Stegostoma tigrinum: one gene and its partner. The protein of the gene in region 2 interacts with the protein of the main gene of each other region in a biochemical or structural test. Links are inferred from orthologs where the notes say so. Each region holds a gene or a part of one and is shown on either strand. Other genes may lie near its edges.

What was found. The genes of interacting proteins can lie anywhere in the genome.
Region 1: the proteins of ETS domain-containing protein Elk-1-like (region 2) and serum response factor-like form a complex in vitro, tested with the Homo sapiens proteins (2 studies listed by BioGRID). The link is inferred for Stegostoma tigrinum from reciprocal best matches to the Homo sapiens genes ELK1 and SRF.

What each region holds. Positions count from the first base shown.
Region 1 is NC_081357.1:7,496,741-7,503,639, reverse strand, and holds the start of serum response factor-like, read left to right. Parts: upstream 1-3,876; 5' UTR 3,877-4,074; coding exon 4,075-4,596; intron 4,597-6,899. UniProt on the Homo sapiens protein: SRF is a transcription factor that binds to the serum response element (SRE), a short sequence of dyad symmetry located 300 bp to the 5' of the site of transcription initiation of some genes (such as FOS).
Region 2 is NC_081364.1:11,900,042-11,907,115, forward strand, and holds the start of ETS domain-containing protein Elk-1-like, read right to left. Parts: upstream 3,006-7,074; 5' UTR 2,942-3,005; intron 1-2,941. UniProt on the Homo sapiens protein: Transcription factor that binds to purine-rich DNA sequences. Forms a ternary complex with SRF and the ETS and SRF motifs of the serum response element (SRE) on the promoter region of immediate early genes such as FOS and IER2.

The DNA.
Region 1 (6,899 bases), on a different chromosome or scaffold from region 2:
GATCTGGATGTTCAGGTCCATTGTTCCCTGAAGGTGGCAACGCAGGTCAATAGGGTGGTCAAGAAGGCATATGGCATGCTTTCCTTCATCGGACAGGGTGTTGAGTACAAGAGTTGGCAGGTCATGTTGCAGTTGTATAGGACTTTGGTTCGGCCACATTGGAGTACTGTGTACAGTTCTGGTCGCCACATTACCAAAAGGATGCTTTGGAGAGGGTGCAGAGGAGGTTCACCAGGATGTTGCCTGGTATGGAGGGTGCTAGCTATGAAGAGAGGTTGAGTAGATTAGAATTACTTACATTAGAAAGATAGAGATTGAGGGGGGGACCTGATTGAGGTTTACAAAATCATGAGGGGTATAGACAGGGTGGATAGCAAAAAGCTTTTTCCCAGAGTGGGGGACTCAATTACTAGGAGTCATGAGTTCAAAGTGAGAGGAGGAAAGTTTAGGGGAGATATGCGTGGAAAGTTCTTTACGCAGAGGGTGGTGGGTGCCTGGAACGCGTTGCCAGTGGAGGTGGTAGACGCAGACACGTTAACGTCTTTTAAGATATATCTGGACAGGTACATGGATGGGCAGGGAGCAGATGGACACAGACCCTGAGAAAATAGATGACAGGTTAGACAGAGGATCTTAGTCAGTGCAGGCTTGGAGGGCTGAAGGGCCTGTTCCTGTGCTGTAATTTTCTTTGTTCTATCCGCAGTGATTTTGCTCGGGCGCAATGAGGTCTGAGATATACAAGGCGTAGAACTGGATGAACACAGCAGGCCAAGCAGTTTTCGAGGAGCAGGAAGGCTGATGGTTCTGACAGATTATATTTGAGTTTTTCAAGGAGGTGGCTAGATGTGTAGATGATGATTGTGCAGTTGATGGTGTCTATATGTACATTAGCAAGGCTTTTGACAAGGTCTTGGATGGCAGACTAGTTAAGAAGGTAAGAACCCATAGAATCTAGGGCACTTTGTCAAATTAGATACAAAATTGGCTTCCTGGCAGGAAGCAAATGATAATGAAGAACTGTGTTTGTGTCACTGGAAGCCTGTGTTCAGTTGTGTACCACCGAGTTCACTGCTGCTTTGTCGCGTACATTAATGATCAACATATGTTTGTGTACGTTTGGAGGTAAAATGAAAAAGGTTGGTGTGGTAGATAGCAAGAAAGAAAGCCTTAGATTACAGGGGGATATAAAGGGGTTGATCAGATGGATTGAACAGTAGCAAATGGATTTTAATCCAGAAGTGTGAGGTGATGTGTTTTGGAAGGACCATCAAGACAAAGGAGTACCGTTTGAAAGATAGCACTGTAGGAAGTACAGGGGATCAGAAGGATGTTAATTTGCATCATCATTTAGATTCTTGAAGGCTGGAGGGCAGATGGATAAGCTGCTTAAGGCAGCATATAGGAGACTTGCCTTTATTAGTGGAGCAAGAAGGTTGTGAATGAGTTGTGGATAACATTGATTATGCCATAGCTGAAGGACTGTGTGCAGTTCTGGTCACTACCCAATGGGAAGGAATTACTGCAAAAAAGAAAATGCAGAGGAGATTCACTAGGATGCTGCTTGGGCTGGAATGATTCAGCTATGAAGAGAGGCTAGACAGTCTAGGACTGTTTTCCTTTGGACAGAGAAGGCTGAAGGGGCTTCTGCTTAAGGTGTACAAAGTTCTTACAGTAATAAATAGTACATGGGGAGGAACCTTATCCCTAAGTCGAGGGGTCAATAACCAAGGGCACAGTTTTTAAGGGGCAACAGGTTTAAATGGGTTTGGAGGAAATTCATTTGCCCCTAGATGGTTGCGGTTATCTGGAACTCATTACCTAAGAGGTTGGCAGAAGCAGAAACCCTCAAGAGATTTCATAAGTATTTAGATGAGCATTTGAAATGCCATAGCTATGTATAATGTTCTGTCTGGGCTCGACATTGATCAATCTGTTCCGGACAGTTCTGTGGACTGGCCTCTGTCCTATCAAGCATTAGAAAATGGGAATAGAAAAGATTGGAGATAATGGGAACTGCAGATGCTGGAGATTCCAAGATAATAAAATGTGAGGCTGGATGAACACAGCAGGCCAAGCAGCATCTCAGGAGCACAAAAGCTGACGTTTCGGGCCTAGACCCTTCATCAGAGAGGGGGATGGGGGGAGGGAACTGGAATAAATAGGGAGAGAGGGGGAGGCGGACCGAAGATGGAGAGTAAAGAAGATAGGTGGAGAGGGTGTAGGTGGGGAGGTAGGGAGGGGATAGGTCAGTCCAGGGAAGACGGACAGGTCAAGGAGGTGGGATGAGGTTAGTAGGTAGCTGGGGGTGCGGCTTGGGGTGGGAGGAAGGGATGGGTGAGAGGAAGAACCGGTTAGGGAGGCAGAGACAGGTTGGACTGGTTTTGGGATGCAGTGGGTAGGGGGGAAGAGCTGGGCTGGTTGTGTGGTGCAGTGGGGGGAGGGGATGCACTGGGCTGGTTTAGGGATGCAGTAGGGGAAGGGGAGATTTTGAAACTGGTGAAGTCCACATTGATACCATATGGCTGCAGGGTTCCCAGGCGGAATATGAGTTGCTGTTCCTGCAACCTTCGGGTGGCATCATTGTGGCAGTGCAGGAGGCCCATGATGGACATGTCATCAAGAGAATGGGAGGGGGAGTGGAAATGGTTTGCGACTGGGAGGTGCAGTTGTTTGTTGCGAACTGAGCGGAGGTGTTCTGCAAAGCGGTCCCCAAGCTTCCGCTTGGTTTCCCCAATGTAGAGGAAGCCGCACCGGGTACAGTGGATGCAGTATACCACATTGGCAGATGTGCAGGTGAACCTCTGCTTAATGTGGAATGTCATCTTGGGGCCTGGGATGGGGGTGAGGGAGGAGGTGTGGGGACAAGTGTAGCATTTCCTGCGGTTGCAGGGGAAGGTGCCGGGTGTGGTGGGGTTGGAGGGCAGTGTGGAGCGAACAAGGGAGTCACGGAGAGAGTGGTCTCTCCGGAAAGCAGACAGGGGAGGGGATAGAAAAGATTGGTTGGGACACACCGGGCTGAGTGGCCTCTTTTTGTGCTGTAAAAACTTTTTCACTTCAGGATTCAGATTGAGGTAGCTATAATCTTCCCCAGACTGAACATGATGAACACTGTGGTCAGCTTGTTCAGCATACTCTAACCTGTCTTGTGGGCTGGGAGCATTTTCTCCAATTCATTCTGTCCTCTGTGTCTGTGCACTCCCATCCATTCTGTCTTGTCCATTTTCTCCTGTCTGTCCACACTAACACATCTGGCCGTGGCATTTCTGTCCAGTCCACTGTGTCTGAGTTTGTCCCCTCTCTCTGTCCTGTCCACTGTCTCTGGCCCTGGTCTCTCTGGTATGTGGATTATTCCGGGTGGGGGTTGGGGCCTCGGCTCTGGACCAATCAGCGAGCTGAGCGGTGACTCACCAAATAAGGAGCGGCCGCGCCATAAAAGGAAACATTGTGTCTTTATATGGTGGAAATAGTGCCGGGTATAGGCCGTATCACTGCTCTCCGCCTGCACGCCTCAGCCCCTAAGAGTAGTGGATTCTGCGGATTCCGAGGACGCTACTGCCCAGGGCCTAGGTGGGAGGGAGGCGAAAGGTATTTTCCGGACGGGTCAGGGAGGGTCTGGCTGAGGAGAGGGGGCACTTAGCCTGGCACTATTTTAATGTGTAGTGTAGTGTGGTTGAGAGTAATGCGGCTGAGGTTTCCTTTCCCGGTGTCTCTGGCTTCCACATTGTAGACAGTGTCCCCGGCGTTAGACTGGGAGTCGCAGGGGGGGGGGGGAAACGGAGAAGAGACCGGGAACAGACTGGGTGTGGAGGGACAGACCGGGGGGGGGGGGTCGGGGGGGGGTGATAGACGGGGGTGCACTTTGGGGGGTGGGGGGGATAGACCGGGTAAAGGACTAGGACGGATTGGGATTATTCCAAGAGCAGAACCGGACTAAGAGCGGCGATAGATTGGAAAAGACCTGGGTGAGACCGGGACAAGTGGCCCCGAAAGATAACAAGGAGAGATCGGCTCTGACTGAGATTTAGGGACTAGACCGGGGCAGGGGTCACTCTTTCTCCCCCGCTCCCGGGGGCCATGCTGCAGAGTCCGGCCGGCACCGCTCCTCCTGAGCCCAACAGCTCGTCGTCATCACCGGCGGGCAGCCTGCAGCCAGCGGCCCCGGCCCCGGGCCCGGGCCCCCAGGCAGCAGCCGCTGCCGTGCTGGTGTCCCGGGACAGAGAAGCCCCGCTGCCTGGGCCCCCTTACAGCTGCTCGGAACCCAGCAGCGACGAGGACGAGGAGCTGGTGGTCGCCTCGGCCCCGGCTCCGCTTGACAGGCGGGGGGTCAAAAGGCGCCTGTCCGACCTGGAAGCAGCGGCTGCGGCGGGCCTGGCAGGGGTGAGCGGACACGGCCCGGGGCTAGAGCCTGGTCCGGGGAGCTTAGCGCCGGCTGGAGGCTATGGGGCAGCGTCGGCCCCAGGAGGGACTGCACCAGGAGCCGGACTAAAGCCTGGCAAGAAAACTAGGGGCAGAGTGAAAATTAAAATGGAATTTATCGATAACAAACTGAGGAGATACACGACCTTCAGCAAGAGGAAGACTGGCATCATGAAGAAGGTGAGTCTAAGAGTGACTCCTGTCCTGGAGAGTGCGGGGGTCACGTTCTGAGTGGAGGTAGGGAGAGTGACTCCCGTCCCAGAGAGTACGGTGGTGGGGTTGGGTTTGAGTGGAGGAGGGGAGAGTGACTTCTGTCCCAGAGGGGTCAGGTTTGAGTGGAGAAGGAGAGAGTGACTCTGACTCTTGTCCCAGAGGGGGGCAGGTTTGAGTGGAGAAGGAGAGAGTGACTCTGACTCTTGTCCCAGAGGGGGGCAGGTTTGAGTGGAGAAGGAGAGAGTGACTCTGACTCTTGTCCCAGATGGGGGCAGGTTTGAGTGGAGAAGGAGAGAGTGACTCTGACTCTTGTCCCAGAGACGGGGTGGGTGGGGTGGAGGTGGGGAGAGTGATTCCTGTCCCAGAGAGGTGAGGGTGAGGGGGTGGGGTGGGGTGGAGGTGGGGAGAGCGATTCCTGTCCCAGAGAGGTGAGGGAGAGGGGGTGGGGTGGGGTGGAGGTGGGGAGAGCGATTCCCGTCCCAGAGAGGTGAGGGAGAGGGGGTGGGGTGGGGTGGAGGTGGGGAGAGCGACTCCCGTCCCAGAGAGGTGGAACAGGGAAATGGAGTGGCAGAGAGAGAGGAGAGGGCAAGGAGTGACTCCTTGCCTGGTTTGGGGGGAGAGGAGTGGCTCCCTGCCACAGGTAGGGGTGGGGCAGGGTGAGGGTGGTGCGGGGAGAAGAGTGACTCTTGTTCCAGGGAGAGATTTTCAGTGGTCTGCAGAAAAATAAATGTGCTCGGAGCAAAACTGTGTGTCTGTGTATGGTTTGGGTCTGCACTGAACCGTTGAAGTGTTGTGAAGACGGTTAAGGCATTCAAGAAGATGTATCTGTTTAAACAATGTGCAAGGGTTCTTTTGGTTGGGGGGGGGTTGAGGTAAAGTAAACAAATGATCCTTAGTAATGGCCCATTGGATAGCTGCCGTAATCTTAGTGGGAATGTGGGTGGTTAGATGTGGTAGTGTGAGCTGATGAGGGAGAGGAGACTGGGAAGGGAAAGTGGTGCTGAAAGAGGAGAAAGGAGTTGAAGGTGTGACTGCAGGAGAGAGCGGGTTGGGGAGGGTAAGGAAAAGAGTGGAAGGTGGAGCTAGGGCTGAAGGGAGATTGGAGATATCATTGGGGAGGTCGTTCTGCAGCTGATACTACATAGGGTCAGTGGAAATAAAAGCCCTGGTTCTATATAGCTACAGTGTTACAGACACTACAGGAATTTGTCTTTCTGTGGTCCTTTATACCCACACCACTGTGACCATAGACAACGTAGTGTGTTGCTGTCATTCTATAGAGTGACAATGGTTTTGATACAAGCACTGTACCACATTGTGTTTTCTATGGTGACTGGTGTGGTCTGCACAGTGGAAGGTAACACATGATTGTATGTAGCAACAGTAGTATTAGTGTGGACAGTGGGAGGTAATGTTGCTATGATTCTGTATGATGACAGTGGTCTTGTAGATGTATACAGAGCTACCTGATGGAGAGACAGGTGGGCTTATTGTACAGATGGATATATGTTGAAACAGTACTCCTTTTTAAGGGACCAGACCAGCATCTCATGTTTTGAAGAAAAGCCGTGACTATAACGTTAGAGTAAACTCCCTTGTCGCAGGAGCAGTGATCTTGAAGAGCTTAGCTCTTTAAGCACTGTACTGCTGGGAATGTAGTTCAAACAATCTAATTGTGAATCCGAGAGTAGAGAAGTCTGTTTGAAATGTGCTCCCAAGTTTCTAACCTTGAGTGATTCAGAAGGTGGAAACTTAATTGGTTTTAGATATCATAGATATCACATCATAGTCTTCCAGATAATATTCTAATATGGTGCATTCTTGGTGATGATGAATAAACACTGCTTTAGGCTGGCTGGGAAGGCAAGTTTTTTTTTTAAAAAGACAGAAGGAGTTAAAATTACCTTAGCTGCTGAAACACTGGCACAAGTAAAGTCATAGACTTGTGCAGCATTTGCAGACAATTCGGTTCAACTCGTCCAGGCTGACCAGAAATCAGAAATAAATTTAGTCCCATTTGCTGGCATTTGGCCCATTTCCCTGTCAACCCTTCCTATTCATATACCCATCCAGATGCCTTTTACATGTTGTAATTGTACCAGCCTCCATCACTTCCCTTGGCAGCTCATTCCATACACGCACCACCTTGAGTGTGAAACAGTTGTCCCATTTAAATCCTTTCCCTCACCTTAAACCTATGCCCTCTAGTTTTGGACTCCCTCACCCTGATCAAAAGACCTTGACTATTCTTCATTTCACAACATTTTTTC
Region 2 (7,074 bases):
GTGAAATGCTGGTGTAAGAAGATTCAATGACAATTTTTAAAAGGGAATTGGGTAACTAACTCAAGGGGACAAAAATTGCAAGGTTATGGAGAAAGAACAGAGTAAATGAGACGACAGTGGACATCTCTTCCAAAGAGCTGACACAGGCACAACAGGCCAAATGGCCTCCTTCTCATCTTATGATAAGAAACCCAATATCTAATGGACATACATATGAAGAAATGTTTCTAATATCACTTCGTTCCTCACCCTCCTGCTGGCAGGATTATTTTGGTGACCATTTCTCACTGATTACCCATAGAATTTCCCCACATCTCCTATCAAAACCATTTTCAAAATCATTATTAAAGTCTCATTTAACCTTTTCAGTCAACAGTCTCTACACTTGAAATCCCTCTCCATAACTACAATTTCTCAATTCTAACATCGTGTGCATATGAAACCCATTTTATGACCTGATTCCACCCACAATGTTGACAATAAATCTTACTATCCACAAGCAAAGGTAAACTCATAATCCAGGCAGCTGTGAGTATCAGCACCACTGTGCCAGCCAATTAGTTTGAGCAAGAGGTTTGATTTTAATTTGAGACAACAAGGTGTGGAGCTGGATGATCACAGCAGGCCAAGCAGCATCAGAGGATCAGGAAAGCTGACATTTCAGGTCTAGACCCTTCTACAGAATTGGGTGAGGGGAAGGGGTTTCTGAAATAAATAGGGAGAAAGGGGGATGCGGATAGCAAATGGATAAAGGAGAAGATAGGTGGAGAGGAGACAGACATGTCAAAAAGGCGAGGATGGAACCAGTAAAGGTGAGTGTAGGACAGACAGGTCAAGGAGGCGGGATGAGGCTGGTAGGTAGGAGATGGGGGTGGGGCTTGAGGAGGGAGGAGGGGATAGGTGGGAGGAAGGAAAGGTTAGAGAGGCGGGTGCGAGCTGGGATGGTTTTGGGATGCATCTGGGGAAGGGGAAATTTTACAGTTTATTAGAAGTCCTAAGGTACAGCAAACTGTTCGGGTGGCATCATTGTGGCACTGCAGGAGGCCCATGATGGACATGTCATCTAAAGAATGGGAGGGGGAGTGGAAATGGTTTGCGACTGGGAGGTGCAGTTGTTTATTGCGAACCGAGCGAAGGTGTTCTGCAAAGCGGTTCCCAAGCCTCCGCTGGGTTTCCCCAATGTAGAGGAAGCCACACTGGGTACAGTGGATGCAGTATACCACATTGGCAGATGTGCAGGTGAACTTCTGCTTAATGTGGAAAGTCATCTTGGGGCCTGGGATAGGGGTGAGGGAGGAGGTGTGGGGGCAAGTGTAGCATTTCATGTGGTATACTGCATCCACTGTACATCCACTCTACATTGGGGAAACCCAGCGGAGGTTTGGGGACCGCTTTGCAGAACACCTCCGCTCGGTTAGCAATAAACAACTGCACCTCCCAGTCGCAAACCATTTCCACTCCCCCTCCCATTCTTTAGATGACATGTCCATCATGGGCCTCCTGTAGTGCCACAATGATGCCACCCGAAGGTTGCAGGAACAGCAACTCATATTTCGCTTGGGAACCCTGCAGCCCAATGGTATCAATGTGGACTTCACCAGTTTCAAAATCTCCCCTTCCCCCACCGCATCCCAAAACCAGCCCAGTTCGTCCCCTCCCCCCACTGCACCACACAACCAGCCCAGCTCTTCCCATCCACCCACGGCATCCCAAAACCAGTCCAACCTGTCTCTGCCTCCCTAACCTGTTCTTCCTCTCACCCATCCCTTCCTCCCACCCCAAGCCGCACCTCCATCTCCTACCCACTAACCTCATCCCACCTCCTTGACCTGTCCGTCTTCCCTGAACTGACCTATCCCCTCCCTACCTCCCCACCTACACTCTCTCCACCTATCTTCTTTTCTCTCCATCTTCGGTCCGCCTCCCCCTCTCTCCCTATTTATTCCAGAACCCTCACCCCATCCCCCTCTCTGATGAAGGGTCTAGGCCCGAAACGTCAGCTTTTGTGCTCCTGAGATGCTGCTGGGCCTGCTGTGTTCATCCAGCCTCACATTTCATTATCTTGGATTCCCCAGCATCTGCAGTTCCCATTATCACCGTGTTCTAACAAAAGCTGGACTCCTTCTTCAGCCAAATGCAGGAGGTGGGCAGTAGAATATAATGTAAAATTAGGCATGTAAAACCATTCTAGTCACTTTCAACAGTTCAATCTTCAGACATGGTTGACAGGAAATTAACTGCATCAACTCAGTCGTCAATGGGAGTTATGGCATCACTATTAGCAACCAGCTAATTTGGTTTGGTACTCTAAAGTACAGAACTGAGGGAATGCAGCCTTTTCATGAGATGCTGTCTTGTGAAAAAATAAACCAAGGTTCGATTTACCTTGATAATATATTTTAAAAGTTGCATGGTGTTACTCTATTAAATTAAAGATCTTTTTTAAGAGTCCTGGCCAACAGTGCTGCCTCAACCCCATATAATAAAGCCAGTCACTCATCATTTGCGTTAGTTGGCACAGATTAATTGCTGCAAGACATGTACTATGTGAAACACTTTGAGGCCTTTCAATAACATGAGAAGAAACTTGCAAAGTATTACAGTTTGTTAGTTCAACGCCAAGGGAACTTATCTTTGAAAATGTGCAAAACCCTGTCATAATCAAGAACAGAAAGTATTGAGTCACACTAAATCACAAAGAGAGTTTTGTTTAACAAGTAAACCTTCAGTCAGATCACTGTCTCAGAGCAGACATGTCTCTCAGGCTCAAAACATTCAACTTAAAATCATGCAGCTTTTAAACGAAACATTAGAAAGGAGAAAAACATAAGCTACAAAAGAACCTTACACAATAATGGTAATACAGTAGGAATGTCCAGCTGGCTAGCTACAGAATTACTCCAGAGATTTCTCAGAATTTTATTAGGAGCAACCAACTTACCCGAGTTCAAGTCCAGCGATGAATGAAAATGCTGGTACTTGCACAAATAGTGCAGTGTTCAGTGGTAGAGATAATCTTCTCCATATCCAGGAAGTGAATAATTTGTGCTAACAGCTGCTGTGTGCACTGACCTCTCTCCCTCTCTGCAGTTTATACTTTCAGCTCTCCTGTATTTCGCAATCATTGAAGATTACAATTTAAAGTGACAGGGTAGGTCTGTATTTGTCAGCTTCTGAACAATTGCTGGACGAGGAGACATTTCGATAAATATGCTGCTGAATAAAAATAGAAAGTCTCCCATTGTCCTTGCCAACCTTGCAAATACATTCCTAAAGGAAATAATTGGGGCAAAAGCATCATTTTCAATTATCCTTAACAAAAGTCATGTGTCACAGAGATCATTACAGTGAGAAAATTGCCCATTCAGCCCTTCGAGTCCACAGCAACCCTCCAAAGAGCATTTCACGCAGACCCACTCCTTTACTTGTGAGAGCATGGAATGCGTTGCCAGCAGCAGTTGTGGAAGCAAGGTCATTGGGGTCATTTAAGAGACTGCTGGACATGCATATGGTCACAGAAATTTGAGGGTGCATCCATGAGGATCAATGGTCGGCACAACATTGTGGGCTGAAGGGCCTGTTCTGTGCTGTACTGTTCTATGTACTGTTCTATGTTCTATGTTTACTCTATCCCTGTATTTCCCATGGCTAAACACCCCTAGCATGCACATCCCTGGACTCTACAGGGTAATTCAGTCTGGCCAATCTACTTAACCCACACACCTTTGGACTGCAGCAGGAAACTGGAGCACCCAGAGGAAACCCACACAGACATGGGGAGAATGTGCAAACTTCATACAGACAGTTGTCCAAGGCTGGAATCAAACCTGAGACCTTGATGCTGTGAGACAGCAGTGCCAGCCATTGAGCCACCTTGCCACCTTCACACACTACATTTGAGTATCTCAACAGCAACTCTAGGCTGCAGGATGATGGTTGAATTCATTTCCCAGTTCTGCATACACCCAAAGGCCTAAGTCTTGTTGACATGTGGTTTACTAGGTATTACCAGCATATTCGATAATACACCAAACGTGGGGCTTCAATATAATGCACTGGTAGGTTATTCAACCACAGACCTGTCTTCTCTAAGTGTCCACACAAAAGCACTTTGGAGCAGCATTATGGGCTCTTGTATAACCCCATCTCCCTCTTTTCCCTCCTTTCTCTAACCTGGTGTGGCTGAGCCCAATTGTAGCCAGATCAATTTAGCCCATGCTAAAATAAAAACAGGAAATGCTGTAAATACTCTATCAGATGCCCTTCAGAAATTTATGTATATTCCTTCAACAGTCAAACCCATGAGATGATTTTCTGAAGAAGGGTCCTGACCCAAACCTCAGCTTTCCTGCTCCTCTGATGCCGCCTGGCCTGCTGTGTTCCTCCCGCTCCATACTGTGTTATCTCTAAATAGGAATCTGATATAGGTTTCCTTATTGTTCAGATGTTCCAGGGATGAGTGAAGGGTCAGGGAGATGGTGCCTGCCATGGATGGTGGCCTATTCGTCCCTAGAATATTTTTCTTTACTCCTTTATGCACCAGTGGATTCACTTTATTGTCTGTAGGAAGCAGAGAATAGCATTATTTTTCCTAAGTGGTGCAAGATCATTTAGCAAGGCAAATTGGCTCACTTTGCAACACACGGATGAATCATGCCAGAGGTTTGGCAACTGCATTCCCAAATACCTTATTAACATCGAAGAGAAGGTAAGAAATAGTATGGTGCAAATCTTATGTATTTCGCTAACAAACAACTGAAATTCATGAATGTCATTACTCATTTGTGGGATGGGCAGAACGTCGTTCTGGTTTGAGGTGAGCATTCTGTCAGTGATGAACACCTCTCAGGGTTCTACTGCAAATTATCTCCCCAACTTTCTAAATCTTGAAACATGTGATGAATGTCTTAGTGCCATTACGCAAATACGGCCAAATGTGAAATAATAGGATTTAAAGGAGAGATGTCAGACAGTAAGTAAAGAGAAGAGGACAGGGACAACAGAAGGAAAACCTGCCAGAAATGGCTGGAGTTAAAAGTGAGGTACAGAAACAGAGTTAAAGCAGAGATGGGGAATGACAGAGATACAGTAAAGGGAATGAAAGGGCATAGGACACTGAGTGTATGGACTCAGAAGCAACAAATAATTTAAATTTTAATCATGAAATGGAAGGATAGGGGATGCACGTAGAGATCATCAGAGGGGTGAATCTAATGACTGTAACAAGGTTCAGCCAGTGAATCTAAAGGGAATGGAATATTAAAGTGATGGGATTAGGATTCAATAAAAGTCTAAATGGGTGAATTTGGAGAAATGGTAGGGTGTAGGGCGGAGGAAATTCAACTCACACCATTTACAGAAGAGAAAGAAGGGCATCATCAGAATGCTCGCCCAAAAATGACAGAGACCTCCAGAGGGTCAGACCTCGCTTGAACTAAATCTGCAAGGCGCAGATGTCCGTTTGGTTTTCCAATGTAGCTTGCTGGATAATAATGGAATATTGATTGGATTAGACAGCTGTTGAGGGAGCACAAGAGAGATTCTCTATACAGTGGGACTGAGCACTGACCGACAATGACCAGCAGCTTATATGGGTATGTGTATTTACATACTTCGGTTCCTCCCGGCTCCACGGAAATTAAACTTTGAATAAGTTTTCTTCCTTATCAACCTGCTTCAGATAAGACCATAAGACACATTAGCGATGCCTTTCCAGTCCATGCAGGGCAAATGGACTTATGTTGAACATAAGATTTTTCCATTTACCAGCCCCAGTTATAGCTTGGCTCTGTAACAGGCATGAGAACATCAATTCACTGATGCTTAGTGCCCAGTGCCTGCTTCAGGCAAGCACCTGTAACATCTAGAAGTTACCAGACAACAAAAGGTTGAACTTTGGGCTGGAGGGCTCCGGTTCAAGATGTGAAGATGGGGCTCAACGTCTCGAGTGAGTCCTTTGGAAGCACAATTGTATCTGGGACTAGTTTGAGAAACAGTCAGATGTTGTAAGGGAAAGATCAAAGGAGCTGTAGGAAATTCTTGGCTGTGGAGAGAATGTTCCCACTTGTGGCTGAGTCCAGAACTAAGGGATACTGTTGTAAAATTAGGGGATTGGACATTTTGGGCAGAGATGAGGATATTTTCTCTCAAAATGCTGTGCGGCTCTGCCTCAGATGGTGGTGGAGACAGTCACAGTTTCATACATTCTTGTTTCAAAAGGGACCGGGAGACTATAGGGCTTAGACAGGAATGTGGAATTCAAAACAAGTAGATCAGCCACGATGTTATTGAATGAATGATGGAGCAGGTTGGAGGGACTGAGTGGCCTGTCTTCATTCCTAGTTCATACGTTTGTCTGTTCTCCATCTGGTGATCGTGCGATGCATTAGAAATTGTAATTACAATGATACTGTATTGGTAATTCAGAAACTCAGACTACTGTTTTGCATTGGGCTTAAATCCCACCACATCAATTGCTTAAAGTTCCGTAAATTCCATAAGTATTTGGAATTTAAAAAAAACAGTCCAATGATGACCATGTAACTGCTGTTGATTGTTGTAAAATGCCCATCCTGTTCAGCAATGCCCTTCGAGGGAAGGAAACCTGCCATCCTTACCTGGCCAGGCCTACATATGCCCCCCCACCCCACACCAACACTAACACCAACACGGTTAACATTTATCTATCCTGGGGGCAATTAGAGATAAGCAATAAATGCTGGCCTAGCCTCTGATGTCCACATCCCATGCACAAATAAATTGATGTTTATAAGTGTTTTCGGGTAATTGTACAAAAACCTCATCAAAAAATTTTACCTCTCCAAAAATCCAGTAATGAATTGGGTTCTTCTGACCTAGTTACAACTGCACTAACTTTGCTTTCATCTGGAGTACAATGTAAAGTATTAATTTCCTTAAATAAGGATAGATATTAATGCATCAGAAACCATTCAGAGGTTTACTAGACTGATACAAGGAATGAGTAGCTTGAGGTATGAGGAAATATTGAGCAGGCTCCACTTGATCCACTGAGGTCTAGAAGAGGTGACTTGATTGAAACATATACAATCCTGA